Coturnix japonica: one gene and its partner. The protein of the gene in region 2 interacts with the protein of the main gene of each other region in a biochemical or structural test. Links are inferred from orthologs where the notes say so. Each region holds a gene or a part of one and is shown on either strand. Other genes may lie near its edges.

Evidence for each region.
Region 1: the proteins of REV3L (region 2) and MAD2L1 form a complex in vitro, tested with the Homo sapiens proteins (2 studies listed by BioGRID). The link is inferred for Coturnix japonica from reciprocal best matches to the Homo sapiens genes REV3L and MAD2L1.

Annotation. Positions count from the first base shown.
Region 1 is NC_029519.1:48,824,314-48,832,700, forward strand, and holds MAD2L1 (mitotic spindle assembly checkpoint protein MAD2A), read left to right. Parts: upstream 1-3,083; 5' UTR 3,084-3,145; coding exon 3,146-3,221; intron 3,222-3,380; coding exon 3,381-3,527; intron 3,528-3,615; coding exon 3,616-3,736; intron 3,737-5,136; coding exon 5,137-5,240; intron 5,241-5,827; coding exon 5,828-6,000; 3' UTR 6,001-6,448; downstream 6,449-8,387. Other genes in the region: RPL7L1 (60S ribosomal protein L7-like 1), read right to left, coding at 8,132-8,340. UniProt on the Homo sapiens protein: Component of the spindle-assembly checkpoint that prevents the onset of anaphase until all chromosomes are properly aligned at the metaphase plate.
Region 2 is NC_029518.1:60,206,861-60,214,477, reverse strand, and holds part of REV3L (DNA polymerase zeta catalytic subunit), read right to left. Parts: intron 5,059-7,617; coding exon 861-5,058; intron 482-860; coding exon 1-481. UniProt on the Homo sapiens protein: Catalytic subunit of the DNA polymerase zeta complex, an error-prone polymerase specialized in translesion DNA synthesis (TLS). Lacks an intrinsic 3'-5' exonuclease activity and thus has no proofreading function.

The DNA of each region.
Region 1 (8,387 bases), on a different chromosome or scaffold from region 2:
CGTGACATCACTGAGCACTACAAAGTTTTCAAAGCATGAAAGGCCCATTTAAGTCCTGATTTTACTGATTCTGTAACGGGATTCCTGTCTTAAACCAAAACCCTTCAGATTAATTGTTCATCAATTAAGTTGGCTTTAGCGTAACAACAGCAAAAGGTAAATCAAAACAGTTATTTTTCATCCAGTGTTAGATAAGGAGCTCCATTCAAAGATGTTTTGGTACTGTCAATCTATGTTATCATTTCAAATACAAGTACCAACACCTATGCGGTAGTAGATATCTGCTTCCTCCAAAGCAGAGAAACGTTGAAAGAATTATTATGTAAACAAAAGTGACAGCTTATGTATACAGTTCATATTCCATAAATTATAGAAACTAAACTAGAAAGAAATGACACGCATTAATGCCCCATGTTAACTGCTGAATAAATATGCATGATTCTATAGACATGCTCATACAATCAATGAAGGTGCACCTTCACAAAATGCCTTACCATGAGAAAAAACTTTCATTGTGCCACAAATACGCTTGATTTTTCCCCACAGTCAATGAAAAAAGTCTTATAAAAATACCAGTGTTTGCATTTATAAAGAATACTTATATACAATTAGAACTATACCCACAATGTATTAATGTGCCCCCTGGCTTCTCAAAGGCTTGTCAGTGCCAATATGTGTACATATGCGCTAGCTCTCGGTGTTCAGAACAAGACTGATATACCGTGGAAGAAGCTCTCACTTTATGTATGAAATGTGCCACATGTACCAGACATAACGATATTAAAATGATATTACAATGGGAAACACCCATGCATAGACAAAAAGACTTCAGTGCACACACTTTTTACATCTCTTAGAAAAGCAGCCTCTATAATCAAAAATATTTAGTTCAGAGGAAGAAAATTTACCTACAACTTGCAGGGTGCAGGCAGGAAAATAAGCATACAGAGTTAAAAAAAAATAAACAAATCTTCATACAGTTGATTTCTATCACGAACTTTATTTTCTGATTTCAGACCAAGTATCTCCTTCATTCTGGAACACGTTTTAAGAACTGGCAAAGAAATGCATCTAAAATTCGTCTAAACTCAAGTACTCGGTAAAACAAACTCGCTGCAGTTCAAGACTAAACTGAAAGGATGCAAATAATTCATGTGCCTGGTGCCATCTCCTGGTAGCTTAGAGATAAAACCATCAGAACACTGAATGCTGTTTCGCAATAGTAGCTTTTTAAACTCCCCAAATTCACAAAAGCTGTTTCACTAGACAAGAAGGCCACTATCAAGACATAGCTTCATTCATGCTAAATGATGTTTTCACATCGGATTAACACTTGCATAACGAAACGGAGATTGTAAATGGCTGGGCTGGTTCAGGAAAAGCCTTTAGCCAGGAACAACCCACACATCGTTCCCTCCCATAGCACACAGAACTAAGCAGATATAATAAAAAAGTAGCAATTTCACTAGAAACCGTGGAAGTTCAGCTAATTGAGAAGGGCCTCAGCCCACCAGGAGTTAAGACAGCATCCAACACAGGATCTACAAATACCACAATATGGACTGAGGGAGAAAGGGAGCAAAAAGTCAACAAACAAGCTCAACACTCACCATCAGTATTAGGCACAGACAGTTTCAGATGGGCAGCATTATAAACCCCCAAAGGCAACTCAAAACAATATGCAGAAAATAAGAGGGATGAAGGTTAAAGTACTAGTTCTATGTGCTAGTAAGTAGAGAAGCTCCCCCTAAAGTGGGGAAGGAAATAAAGGAGCTTGAGATCTACCAGAACAGGAGAACTAGAGCTCTGTTACCCACAGTAAGATTTCCTTCCTCTGCACAGGAAGAACTGGATTTTGCTGAGACTTAATATGACAATTTGTTAATGTGATAAGAGGGCTTTTATAACAAACAGGACTTTTATTCTACAGACTGTTTTATTCTGCTGGCAGGAGAGACCTGTCCACAACGACCCGAGGGTTAAAAAACTAAACAAGAACAAAAATAAAAGCCCCAAACCTGGGAAGGAACTTTACACATGGATTATTTCTTCTTGTCTGCTGAATGACTACAGGAGCATGACTAGAGTTGCCTTAAAAAATTTGCAGGAGCAGCAGTGATCTGGATTGTCACAGGTTCATTAACAATGGCCATGGGGAAGCAATCATTAAATGTTGCAGAAAAGCCAAGATAAATAGGGGATGTTTAATTCCACAAAAAGAGAATAATAAATATATATATGTGTGTGTCATATCAAAATGTAATTGAGAAACACAGCAATGACTAAAGAATCATAAGAGAACCAAATTAAATGCAACTGGGATTTCACATTCCTTCTGAAAATTAAGGCTTTAGCATGAGATAATTAAAGCAAGGACGGCCAACTCGTGATGTGCCAGAACGTATAACTCAGTCTGTCATCTGCATTGCCGAGTCCCCGCGAGCTGCTCAGGAAGCGGGCTGTCAGACACACCGCTCCCTCACCCACAGCACTATCCCCACTGCTCCCCGTGACAGCCCCACAGCCTCCTGCTTGTCACGCAGCTGGACATGCCCTAAATGTGAACTACAGGCATCAGCAGCACATGGAAAAGCTCCTCATCCGCCTCTGCCAAAACACGGAGAAACCAATTTGTGTTGAAGCAGATCAGCTACCTGCAACGGGAGACCCTTAAGAATCCACCAGAGCGCTGAGGAGCCGCACTTCGCTTCTATGAGCGCTGGGTTTGTCTATTCCACCGGGTCTAACTACAATGGCGCAGCGGAGGCGGCTCGTAGGGAACCTCGGAGGGAGAAAAGCACGAGAAAATCCCAGAGTGGGAAAGGAAGGGCTCTGAGAGCGCTCTGGGACGGGAATAGCGCAGGGGCTGAAGGAGAATAGCGGGTATTAACAGCAATCCGACTGCTAAACGCTGAGCGGGGCGGCTTTCGTACTGAGCACAACCAGAAATAGCCCAGAGAAGAGGCAGCACCTCCATAAGGACACACGCACCCAACGGCACCTGACGGGACGCACCCACACACCGCAAACCCCGCCCGCCAACGGCCGCACCCCGCGCATGCGCAGCACGGCATCCCGCCTGCTCAGCCCTCGCAGTCGGCCGGAAGGGGCGGGGCGTGATTTGAAGCGGGCGGCGGGCACCGCCATGGCCGCGCAGCTGGGCCGCGAGCAGCAGGGAATCACCCTGCGGGGCAGCGCGGAGATCGTCGCCGAGTTTTTCTGTAAGGGGCTGCGGGCCGCCCAGGGGTGCGGGGAGACGGGGGCGGGTTGGGGGGAAAAAGGCGGGCGGGCGGCTGGCTCTAATGCCGCGGCCGACATGGCCGCCTGTAGGGCGGGAGGGGTGGCCCCCTTACAGAAGCCTCCCCGCTTTGTGCGCGCAGCTTATGGCATCAACAGCATCCTGTACCAGCGGGGCATCTACCCCCCTGAGACCTTCACCCGCGTCCAGAAGTACGGCCTTACCCTGCTCGTCACCACCGACCCCGAGCTGAAGAACTACCTCAACAACGTGGTGGAGCAGATGAAAGGTGAGACCTGCCCCCCCCCGCTTCCCGTCCCCTTTTCTCCTTCCCCTTTTTCTCATACAGCCGTAGTAAATGCTGCGGCCTCTTCCAGAGTGGCTTTATAAGTGCACCGTGCAGCGCCTGGTGGTGGTCATCTCCAGCATTGAGAACAATGAGGTACTGGAGCGGTGGCAGTTTGACATTGAATGTGACAAGAGCGCCAAGGGTGAAAGGTGAGTGACAGCGTTTCTGTGCCTGCTTCTCCCTGTTGGGAGACACAAGGGAAAGACCAAGTATGGTAGTGCTACCTCTGTAACCTAAGAGCTATCTGACGTTACCAAATAAAGCTGTGGGTGCCATTGATGTGCTCCAGGGACTGGATGCAATCCAGGGGGACCTGAACAGGCTGAGCAGTGGGCCCAAGTGAGCTTCATGTGATTCCACAAAGCTAAGAGCAAGGTATTATACCTGGGTTGGGGCAACCCCTGCTTTCAGTACAATCTGGGGGACATAAGAATGGCGCACAACCCTGCTGAAAAGGTCTTGGTGGCAAGCTGGACATGAAGCCTGAAATCATAGAATTACCCAGGTTGGAAAAGACCTTGAACATCATCAAGTCCAACCGCAGCCTAACCAGTACCCTGACTCTAAAAACCCTACACTAAATCATATCCCTGAGTAGGGATATGACCTAACAGCCCAGAAAGCCAACTGTATCCAGGGCCACATCCAAAGAATTGTGCATGGTCAGCAGGGTAAGGGACGTTATCCTGCCTGTATGCTCTGCGCTGGTGAGCCATCACCTGGAGTACTGCATCCAGATTGAGAATTCTCAGTACAGGAGAGACATGGAGCTGTTGGAGTGTGTCCAGAGGAGGGCCACAAAAATGGTCCCAGGGACAGAACAACTCTCCTGTGAGGATAGTCTGAGAGAGCTGAGGTGTTTAGCCTGGGGAAGGCTTAGGGGAGACCAGAGAGCAGCCTTTCAGTATTTTGAGGGGGGGCTATGTGAAAGAAGCTGACAGACTTGTCAGGGCACAGGGTGTGATAAGAGTGAAGTGTTTCGCTAAAAGAAGTGAGGTTTAGATTGGATATAAGGAGGAAATAAGTTTTTTGGCTTGTTTTTGTTTGTTTGTTTCTTTTTTTACAATAAGAGTGGTGAGGCACTGGCACAGTTCATCCAGAGTAGTAGTAGATTCCCCATCCTTGGAGCCACTCAAGGTCAGGCTGGCAGGACTGAGCAATCTTGTGGATCTGTAGGTGACTGTTTATTGCAGGAGAGTTGGAATACATAACAATTAGAGGTCCCTTCCAACTCAAATGATTCCATCATTCAGTTATCAAAATGTTTTGTAATCTGCAACTGAACAAAGTCCTGTATTACTGCTCTTCTGCTGTTTTGCCAAAACTCTCACCCAACCCAGACAGCAAATATGTCCTTAAAAACACTGCGAGGTTTCACAAACAACAAATTGAAAGTTACAGTTTTGTGAGCCTAAGGCTTGAAAGAATGCTTCTGCATAACCATACAGCAAACATACCCCACAGCAGTGCAGCAAGAACTGTGTTTAAAGAAAGCTGTCAGTATTGGAGGTGCAAGTTGTTTTCTTAAAGAGTTTTCTCATTTTTCCAGCGCACCCCGAGACAAATCTCAGAAAGCCATTCAGGATGAAATTCGATCTGTTATCAGACAAATCACTGCCACGGTAACTTTTCTGCCTCTCCTGGAAACTGCCTGTGAGTATTTGTAACTTCTCCGAAAGAAATGACACTTCTTTCAGAAAGCCTGAACTAGCATTTGATTGTAGAAAATCTTTTCCACTATTCTGTTTTTATTATTATTATTTGAAGTGTCATGTATTGCATTTCTGGGTATATGTTTGGTTAGACCAAGACAGTCTCAGCTATGTACAGTATAGAAGCAGCATCAGATAAAGTACTCTAAGTATTGTCCTGTACTGCTTCTTGTACAACAAACTGAAAAAGAACTGCTACTGTAAATACTGTGCTCTCTTTCAATCAAGCACTTGGAGCAACTTCATTGGAAGTTAAACTCTTAAACTCGTTTTTTCCCCAAAAGGTGCAATTCAAGGTGATTTAAGTAGCTTGAAGAAACTTGGTGTATCTGAGGACCTACAGCTGTCATAAATATTGCGACTACAGGAATGATAACTAGTATTTGTTTTCATTCCTTTAACTGCCATTTCTTTTTCTATAGATGCCATAACTACTGATAACCTTCTTGCATGTCTCCATGCGTTTTAACTTCAATTATGGTATCATTCCTATGTGTGTAGCATTAACTTTTTCCCACCTGCTTACAGGTGCCTTTGACTTGCTGATTTACACAGATAAAGATTTGGTAGTGCCAGAAAAGTGGGAAGAGTCAGGACCACAATTCATTGCCAATTCAGAAGAGGTTCGTCTTCGTTCCTTCACTACCACGATCCATAAAGTCAACAGCACGGTGGCTTACAAAAAGGATTCTTTTCCTTAAAACTGTTTCTTGTACATATCCTGTCCTCTTGTATAGTGTCTGTTCATAGAGCAGCTATGTTGTGAACACATGATTGCTCTTGCTGAATGTGCAGTATTGTGCCTGATAATGTGGTGTAACACTAGATTAAGGTGGCACTGTTTGAAGAGCTCTGAGGTGTTCATGACAGTATTAGGCCTGTTTTTCATGCAAGGTCTGGATTTCATGACCAGAAATAATCCATATCTAATCCCAAGATTAATTCTAAAGTTTTTACCATAAAAGCAGCTGATGAGCAGGAAAAGGCCCGAACAGATGAAACACAGCATTTTGAAGAACATGAGACTGCAGTTCTGGAGAGGGTGCTGTTCTGCATCAGTGTGTCTTGTCCTTCTTCAGCAGCTGCACAGCATTTTCTATGTCTGTATTCTTGTTTTATGGAATAAACCTTGAAACTGTATAGAGTTCTCCTAGTCACAGAATGTGGGAATTTGTATTTTAGATGTTAGAATTCTGTATAGCAGCAGTTCAGGCTAATGCCGCAAGTACCTCAGTCACAAATCAAGTGCTTTTGTCAACGTGAAATCCATGAAACTATTCATTAATTGTAGTTTGTCCCCACTCGTGCCTAATACTGTTTGTGGATGATTAGTGATGACTCTATCAATTTTGCGGAATGGTCCTGTAAGATCACCTGGTTTCAACCCCTGCTACAGGCAGGGACACCTACATCTCGATCAGGTTGCTTAAAGCCTGTCCCAGCTCCCTTCCAGGGAGGAGGCATTTACAACCTCACAGGGCAACCTGTTCCAGTGTCTCACCGCCCACACAGTGAAGAGTCTCTTCCCAATATTTAGTTTAATATTACCCTTTTACATCTTAAAGCCATTTCCTCTTGTCTTGTCACTACATGCCCTTATAAAAAGTAATTCCCCCTCTTTCCTGCAGGCCCCCTTTAGGTACTAGAAGGCTGCTATCAGGTCCCCCCCCTGGAGCCTTCTCCAGTGTGAAGAGCCTTAATTCCCCATAATCATTAAGCACAGCGTTGCCTTCTAAATTAGTATCAGACAACAGGCCAGCTGAAGAAGCTCCATAAAAAAAATTTACACTAGCATACACTGCTTTCAGCATTCCCAACAGTCACACTGGAGTTACTTAGTACTTAAGCACTTATGGTTTGACTGATACACGAGTGGTACAATACTATCATTTAAAAAGAGTTTATTTTAAAACTATTGATTTTGTAATATTGCTGCAGAGTGTAAATAATGGGCTTTCCTACCAGGAAATATCCATCCCCACAGCAGTCCCATTTTAGAATATTAGAAAGACACTATATAAACCAGTAAGACAAATCATACTGCAGCTAGACTGTATTTAACAGAGGAATAAGCCTAGTACTTCCCTCTGCCTGTCAGTGGTGTTGTTAAGCAGCTGACTGCACTACCTGCTTACACCTAGAAGTAGGTGCGCTTTAAACAGTAAAGTGCAATTTTAAGCACTTCCCTTGGGGAGGACTGGATCAAAGCAATGGTTGCTGTTCCCTTGTAACAAATTTACATCAGAGAATGCCAACGCGTGCTTCATAGCAAAGGTGAGAGGGTGGACTGGTACAGTGCCAGCAGTAAAAGGTACTGAAAACAAAGATAAAAAATCCAACGCCTTAAAAAAAAATCAGATTGCTCCAGAAAGTTCAAGTCATTTCGTTTTTTGCACCAAATAAAGTTTCTTTCTCAAGGACCAGCCCGGAGTGCAGCTTCATCACCTGGATTTTGTTGGCTTTCTTTACCTTCTTTTTTAAAGGTAGCAATAGACAAGAGATGTAGTATATCATTGTAGAGAGCCCAGGTCCATGAAAATTACATGTGAAAAAGAGCAGGTTCTAAGTCCTGGTGTTTTTGCAGAGACTGCAGAACAGAAAAGAAAGAAAGAAAAAAATTACCAGTCATTTGAACACATTTTTCCCAGCAATCCAAAAATCAATGGATTTGGAATAGCCCACTAGCACCAATAGCTAATGCAACCCATGATCTCTAGTTTTCTCTGAGACTGTGAGGGTCACCATAATATATAAACTCGCGTCTTTGATGGCAATACAGTTAATCTTAGGAAGCCAGATAATAAGGATTTAAAATGTACATTCCTCACCTGTCTAGTTCAGCTGCCGTATAAGCTGGTTGATTCCTTCACCTCTGCAGCCAGGCTTACCCATCTCCTTGAGAAACCCCACTTTATTACGTGCAGCATAGCGGGCCACTGACAGCTGGAACGGCCATAGGAAGTCTGAGACATTTCTGAAGTACTTCCCAGCTGAGTAGATTTCATGAATAAGGTCTTCCAGGCAAATAATACCACAGTTCCCTGCAGGAAAAAATAACCGCAAAGTACAATGAACAAGACATGCAACA
Region 2 (7,617 bases):
ATCTGCCACAGAAGTGGGATAACCCTTTGTAGGCCCTATAGGTCTTTCATCTTCCAGGCTTGACAAATTTAAATCTTTAGCTGCTTTTACTACTTCTACAGATTTCTCTCCAGACAATATTGTGGAGCCAAAATTCTCAGCTGCCTTTTCCAGCTCAGCAGGATGATTCTTAGGCAATTTCTTGAAATGTTCATACTCTTCTTTGGCATGAAGCCATATCTGAACTTGTTGCTGGCTTGGAGCACACTTGCATGGCATTATAACAATTTTTTTGTCTTTGCTAGTTTTATGGCTATTACCTTCTCTTTTATTAGCAGCAGAGTGACCATAACGGGGAGGTGACCCTGGTCTAGGACCTTCAGTCATTGCTGAAAATGCAGTCTTCCAGAGTCGTAGCCCTTCTAATGAGAAGTCTCCCTCAAACTCAAGCAGGTCATTTGGAAGCCTAGTTTCTACAGTGAGAAGCCGTCCTCCAATCTCCCTGAAAAGAAAACAGTTTGAATTATTGCTTTGCTCTTAAGTGCATTGTGCAGGCAGTTTTTAAGACTATACACTAGCAGTGTTCAGCTAACTAGTCTTCTCACAATACAATTCCTGTGGGCAGTATTCATCTTTTACAAAGCAAGCAGGCGTACTTTCATTTACTACAATAATATCAAGCAATAAAAAAAGAAAGTGTCATGAATGAAGAAGGGTATTTGCAGGGGAAGTATAGTAATTTTCAGCTTCAAACATGCATATAACAGATGGAATCTTTCATGCAGCTGTGTCACATAACAGCAAAAAAATTGTTTACAGGAATAAATTAAACTTAATATAATTACAAGCATATGTAGACAGAAATGCCTTTAAAACAGTACCTTGGTTTTTCTGGAGCATCAGAAGGATTACTGCAAAATGGTTCCTGATAAACTGTTTCTGTGAGATCATGATCCAGCAAAGTTGCCATGATTTCTTCACGACTGGGTGGGGACATAAGCGGCTTAAGAATGTGAGCAGTACGAGGTGTAAAACTTCCATTTTTTGACTGTGAGGGAGAGCTGGTGGATCTTGGTGAACTATCTGGAGTCGGAGTTAATGCTTCGTTGTTTCTTGAAACATATAATTCTAAATCTTCAGAGGCTGCATCTATGAGTTCACCATCAGGAGAAGACAGTACAGATGTAAAAGAGGTATTAACTGAATCAAGTGGTTGACAGGGTTCAAAAGTGGTTTCTTTTCTAATGTGGCTTTGAATCCAATCTGTGCTGGTTGGCTGAGGAAGGTTAAGAAATCTCTCTTTATTTACTGCGTTTCTAGCCAATTTAAATTTCTCATTTAGACAGACCTCTGTCTCTTGTGTACAAGAGGTATCAACAGAGTTAGATCTAGAAGTTGAAGGATGAACGTTTTTCCTCCGTTGGCTATGGCAGTGGTTCTCATTACTATCCAGGGAGGTCTTCTCAAAAAGCTCAGGGCTCAGAGAACCAGGTCTTATCCACTTGCTTGTGCTTGAAGAATGCTGTTTTTCTTCATCAGCTTTTTGGTCATTACGACATAGAAAGTCATTTTCTGTTGTTTGTACAGAACCAAGATCTTGAACTGCATCACTCAAAAATTTTTGGGGCAAATTTTGATCTGCTGGGACAAACTGGCTTGCAGAGTAAAAACTGCAAAATCCAGTTTGCCCTATAGAATTAATATCAAAGTTGTAATTGTGGTCTGGCGATAAGCTGTCTTCAAGGGAGTAACAGCTTTCAAAACCAGGGTCTGAAAAAAATATAGGGCTATCATCAGACACAGAATGATCAGCATGACTAGTGACCTGTTGGCTTAAAGACTCCATTTTTGAAAGTTTGGGTGTTTTTTCTTTAGGTTTTGTATTCCTGGGAGTACGTGGTTTCCTAGGTGTGGCTGACCGTGACCTTTTGATTGCTTTGTTCTGTTCAGGAGGGCATGGGGTACCTTTGCTTAGCTGTGCTTTAACTGGTAATGGTTCTTGTGTAGCATTTGCATTCTGAGCTTTCTGTTGCCTCTTCTGAAGCAACTCTTTCAAAACAGCCAGGCCAGACTGTCCTTCACTAAATGCTGACGGGGCCACTATAGTCCTGTTCTTATATTGGGAAATGGGTTTTGGTTGTGTCGTTGTTTCTGGCAGAGACTTCTGTTTTACAGTTTCAGGTTTAAAATGCGACATTTCCAAAATAAATCCTCTCTGTTTTTGATCCCAATTTAGTTGTTTCACTGGACTCTTCAAAGAGGTTACAAAACAGTTCTTAGGCAACTGAAGAGGCCCCGGACTTTCCTCAGATGACTTAGGAACAGAATTAGAAGGATCAGAATGCTTGGATGCCTCTGGTATACAAAAAATCTGCTGCTGATTATTGTCTTTACAATGCAAATAGCTAGTGGAATGCAACTGATCCACCTTCATTGAGTCTGAAGACTCACGAGCTTCACTTAATTTCCCAGCTGATGGTAAATACCTGTGTTGCAAATTTTTTATCTCTTCTGCTTTTACAAGGGTCTTATCTTTAGAGATGCACACATTCTGTGTTACCTGAGTTGAGTGATTAGATGAGTCAAATATGTTTTTAACAAGAGCAGATTCCTTCATTCTAAATACAGCACTTTGAGTCCTGGGCCTTTGAGAGCTCACTTTCAGTACTTCTCTTCCGGATGCCACAGAAGTTGATGTGAGAGATGAATGAGGGTCTTCTCGTGGAGCAGGCAAACACTGTGCATCTAAAGGCTTATCAACTTCCATCAATGAATGAAAACAGTCTGATGAATTACCTTGTGTATCAGCTGCTGAGGGAAATGGTGCTGATGGCAGATACCCTGCTGTAAAGCCAGGAAGAGGACCATCTCTCCGATGATGAAGCGGCTGCGAGTTGTAAGACATCTCAGGCAGATCTTGATGTTTCAGCACAAACTTCACTTCTGTGGTTGAATGATTATTTCCTTTTTCATCTTTAAAAACCATGCGTTTTCTTGAGGACATTTTTTCTGTTGTTTTCTGTCTTTGTTTCGTTCTAGGCTTCTTCTTTCCATCATCTGCTGTTTTATCACTCTGATTCATCTTTTTCTTTTTCTTTGTAGATACAGTGGGGCTAGCAAATTTCTTTTTACATTTCTTAACCTGAGTTTTTGCTCGACTATTTTTTCCTACATTAGAATTAACAGTCCTGTTGTTGTACATACTACCCCTACTATGTAAAGCTTCTCTGTCCAGGTTGGTCAAAATTTCTTCTGCTTTTGGATCAGTGGGAGACCAGCAGCGAGGTGGCGATGTGTTTACTGGGCTTGTGCTTCTCTCAGAAAGAAAACCTAATTTAGACATAACATCACTATAGTTATAGTCACAGTCTTCAGCTTCAGCATTATAGGATGGTGAAGGAGGAGAAAGAATTGTGTGAGTCCTTTTCCTGAAAGATAAAGTTCTTTTAATATTATTTTTACTACCTGTTCTTTGCAGTTTTCCAGCTTTTTTCTTGGTTGACTTATGTTTCGCTTTTCTTTTGTGACTTTTCTTTGGTGTTAGTGGATAAATAGGATATTTGGTTGCAGGAGAGTCAGGAACTTTTGGCCAAAAGTCTTTTAAAGGTGCAAGCTTTCTATATAAATTCATCTTTTCTTCTGTGAGTACCACTCTTTCCTCAGTAGAATCTACTTTCCCTAGTTTAACAAGCATATTTTTTCTCCCTCTAAATCTATTGATGATAATATATTTAATAATAACAGGTGGCAGTTTTTTAGAAAGTCTTCTACGTTTTCGAGACTTCTGAGACCCATCCAAACTTTCAACACTATCTATTGGTTGAGGTAGATTAATTTTTGAGTTGTGTGCGACAAAGCTTGATTCACTGTCTTCAGTCTCATAATTTACCTTTCGTTTAGTTCGGAGTGTGTATTTATTTCCACATAATCCAAACGACTGCTCAGTTTCAAGAGATCCATCTCCCATCTGGCAGTCAGTACAATGAGCAGTACTTGTAGGCATTTTGTTTTCAAAAGCCTCAAGAGGAACTTGGACTAAGTCGCTAGGTAAAGCACTATCCTTATCAGGAATATTACTACAAGCATTACCTTGTGTATAGCAGCTTTCCTTCACTGATACAACATCACTCACAGTTGCGGGCTCCTGATGATTGATAAAACTATATTTCTTTTTATTCAGCTTCAACCTGGACTGTTTGTTGCCTTGGTGTAATTTATACGTCACAGGAGCTAACTTTTGTGGTCGGCTAAGACAGTTTGAAAGAACAACACTAGGAAAGAACATATAATGTGCTGCTTGTTGACTGAGACTTGGCTTTTCTGCTTTATGCTCCTGAAATTCTTCATACCTAATTTTAAGCTTATTAAGGCCACCTTCATCAGTGTTGTTTTCAAGTGAATGAACAACAGTTCGGCTGCCTCCTGAACAGGACACCAATTCACAATTTTCTGTAACTGTTGCTGGAAAAAAACTATTTATACTTGCGCTGCTGGCTTTTTCATTTAGTTCAGAGGATATTTTACCTTTGGAGTGGCCAGAGTGGCTCAAATCAGAAAAGTTAAAAGAATTTTTATTCAATATGCTGTCACCAATGTGGCGGCCCACGTGCATAAAAGAGACATCCTTCTCAGTCTTTCTGATGCTAGTATACTTCCTGCTAGGTATCTGTCTGCTGACTGATGAAATATCATCTTCATACTCAAAAATATTATTTTCACATGAAGGAACTGGGAGAGTATCTTTCTTGTTACTCTCTTTATGTGAATTTTCTGCATGGGTACTATTGCTGAATGATGTTGGGTACTTTGCTGTGTAAGTGCTTTCTTTTGTAAGAGAATGAACTGAAAGTTCAGGTCTTGTTTCTGTGTTTGGTTGCGAGAGGTCTTCTACTAAATCTTCGTTATTCAAAACGTGGTTAGAAAGGGCACTTGTGTGTTTACACTGAAAAGTAATTTTAGCAGAAGACGGGGGTTCTAGCGTAGCAGCATCTTTGTGAAAGATTGAGGTCTTTACAGACATTTTGCTTGTTGCAATGACGGAGGAGTGAGTTCGAGAACTTTCATTATTCAAAGGATTGTCTGAAATGGAAGACAAGCAATTTTACTCTAGTTTTCCTGTAAAAAAAGAATAACTAAGCTATTAATTATTTTAATGATATTTTCACAATAGCCCCCCCATACCAGAACAGTACTCTTCTAACTCACATTCCAATTATGATCATGACAACTACAGGCTCCAAGTACATGAGTTACTTTATCAAAATTACATCATTAATACATTTGTGTCTTAAGATATTCTGTCAGTTACTTATAAATTAAGGACTTGAATACATTTCCCATAGATTTCTCAATGATTTGCTTAGAGAAAACTTCAGAAATCATTTTCAGAAAGCTAAATACAAAGACATTAACTTTTAAAAAAGCTTGTATCCTGCTTTGTCCCTGAGAAGCATGCATGCTTCCTGCTTCTGAAAAGGAAAATAACATACAGGCAAAGTATGATCTTACAACAGCAAGGGCTTTGTATCAACCATCCTGTGCAATAAGTGTAAGACAGTTTGCTGTACTTTTAAAGCAGAGCAGTCCAACACCCATTCAGGTGTGTATATGAGGAGCTTGCTCCATTTAGTTAGATCATGAATTCATACCCATGATTACTATTTCCACAAAGTTCTACAACCAGCACACGCTGAGGTACTTGTGCAGTGAAGACTCATGGTGTGATAAATAGGACTATTTCTCTCTTCCATTGTTACTTTCACTACATTTACTGCAGGATAAGTGTGTGCAGACACCTGGTAAGTAACACATTAACAACTACTCTGCAGTAATCGTGTGCTTTTCTTAACTACAGTGAGCACCAAGCAACTTCAAGGAGTTTATTCCACTCCAGAGACAGATACTATAGAGCTGGGGACACGTGTTGGTTTGTTCATGTGTCCAAACCTCCAGATGAAATACTGAAGGGGAACATGAGTTATGAAATGTGCTGTACGACTTGAAAGTATGTGTTGCAAACTGTTGTACTATGTGGGATATCCTTTAAGCTTTCACCTTTTAAGTCTAAACCAATTTGAAGATTATCCAAGATTCATAGTGCCCTCACCTTCACAATTTATTTGTAGCCAGATGAAAAAAAGAAAAAAAAAGAAAGTCTCAATCTGTTTCTAATAACATTTTCTAATGCAAACCCAGACTCACTGAGCTGTGAAACACAGCTGGGAGGTACAGCCTGTGATTCTTTGGGTGTAGGAGGAAGCATTTACACAAAGAATGAGGATGATTAATGGAGGACGGAGAAAATGGGAGTTCAGTGAAATGTCAAGTGAACATTTGGAAGATACCTGATTATTCACATATGAAAATTGCAAAAATACTTATAAATCAGTCAGATGTTACAGACTCTGACATTCATGTGTGGAGAAACTTTTTTTTTCCCTTCTTTTTTAAAAAAATTCTCCTGTTTTAAGAAGGGTATGCAGTAGAAGTTATTTTATGTTTGATTAAATGAGAATAAGCCTATTTTAAGAGGACTTTCTTTTTCTCCATGTGAGTAATAAAAATATTTGAAATATTCTACAGTTTAAATGGTTTTACAAGATACAGTCTCATTAGCCAGAAGCATCTCTTTTTATAGGAAGTTACAAAGTACTGCAAATAAGGAAATTACAATTGTGTATTTTGCAAGAAGTCATATGAGTAGTACATCAAGTAATGTATTAGCCTTGCCATTTATACTTACAAAAGCAAAGGATAAAAAAACTATGCTTGAAACAGCAATCATGAAAGAATGGTTCTGGTTGTCTATATAGTAAAATCATATAGTTCATTTTCTTCAAGATGGAATTGTTTATATTATTATATTAAGACATCTATATTTTATCTTCTGCTTGTTACTTTGTCAAATAGCTATAAGAGATACTAACTAATAGATAACTAGTAATGGATTACATCCCTTACCCTAAGAGCAAATGCAGCAATAGAAAATTAGGTACATACATGATCACCAACAAGATTTTTACACTACCCGATTTTTACTATGGATTAAGAAAAGGTTATATACAAAAATGACGCTAATCACAATTTAAAATTTTAAAGGTAATACAATGCCATTTAAACAAAGGACAACAATTACTGTTGATTACACCAAGAACAAAAATGAACTTAATACTGAGAAAATTCAGGATACAGACATATTTCCCCTTCCTCCGCAGTGGGTTCTGTGCATTTTTGATTTTTTGCTCTCTGTTTATAAATGTGAAATTATGAAGCTCGTCTAACAGAACAAATAACAACCTCTGCGTATTTGCCAAACCTCAGAACATGCCTTCTATTAACCAAAGCTATTTTGAACGGAGACAGCGGGTTGTAGAGATAGCAAAATATATCTTTATAGATTAATTTATTTTTATAGATTTTTGAAAGGCAGTTTCTTTTGCAGCAGTCTTGTACTGCATAATTTTAAGTCACGTTATTCCAGAACGTGATCAAGCAACCTGCTGAATGAGACACAGACTCAAAGGCTCTATGTACTTCAGCATGGGTGGTGCATATTTGCAAAGTAATGTTAATCATCTAAATTTACACAAACTACTGTTTACAACAAAATCACAGCAGGATAAATGGTCCTACAGAATC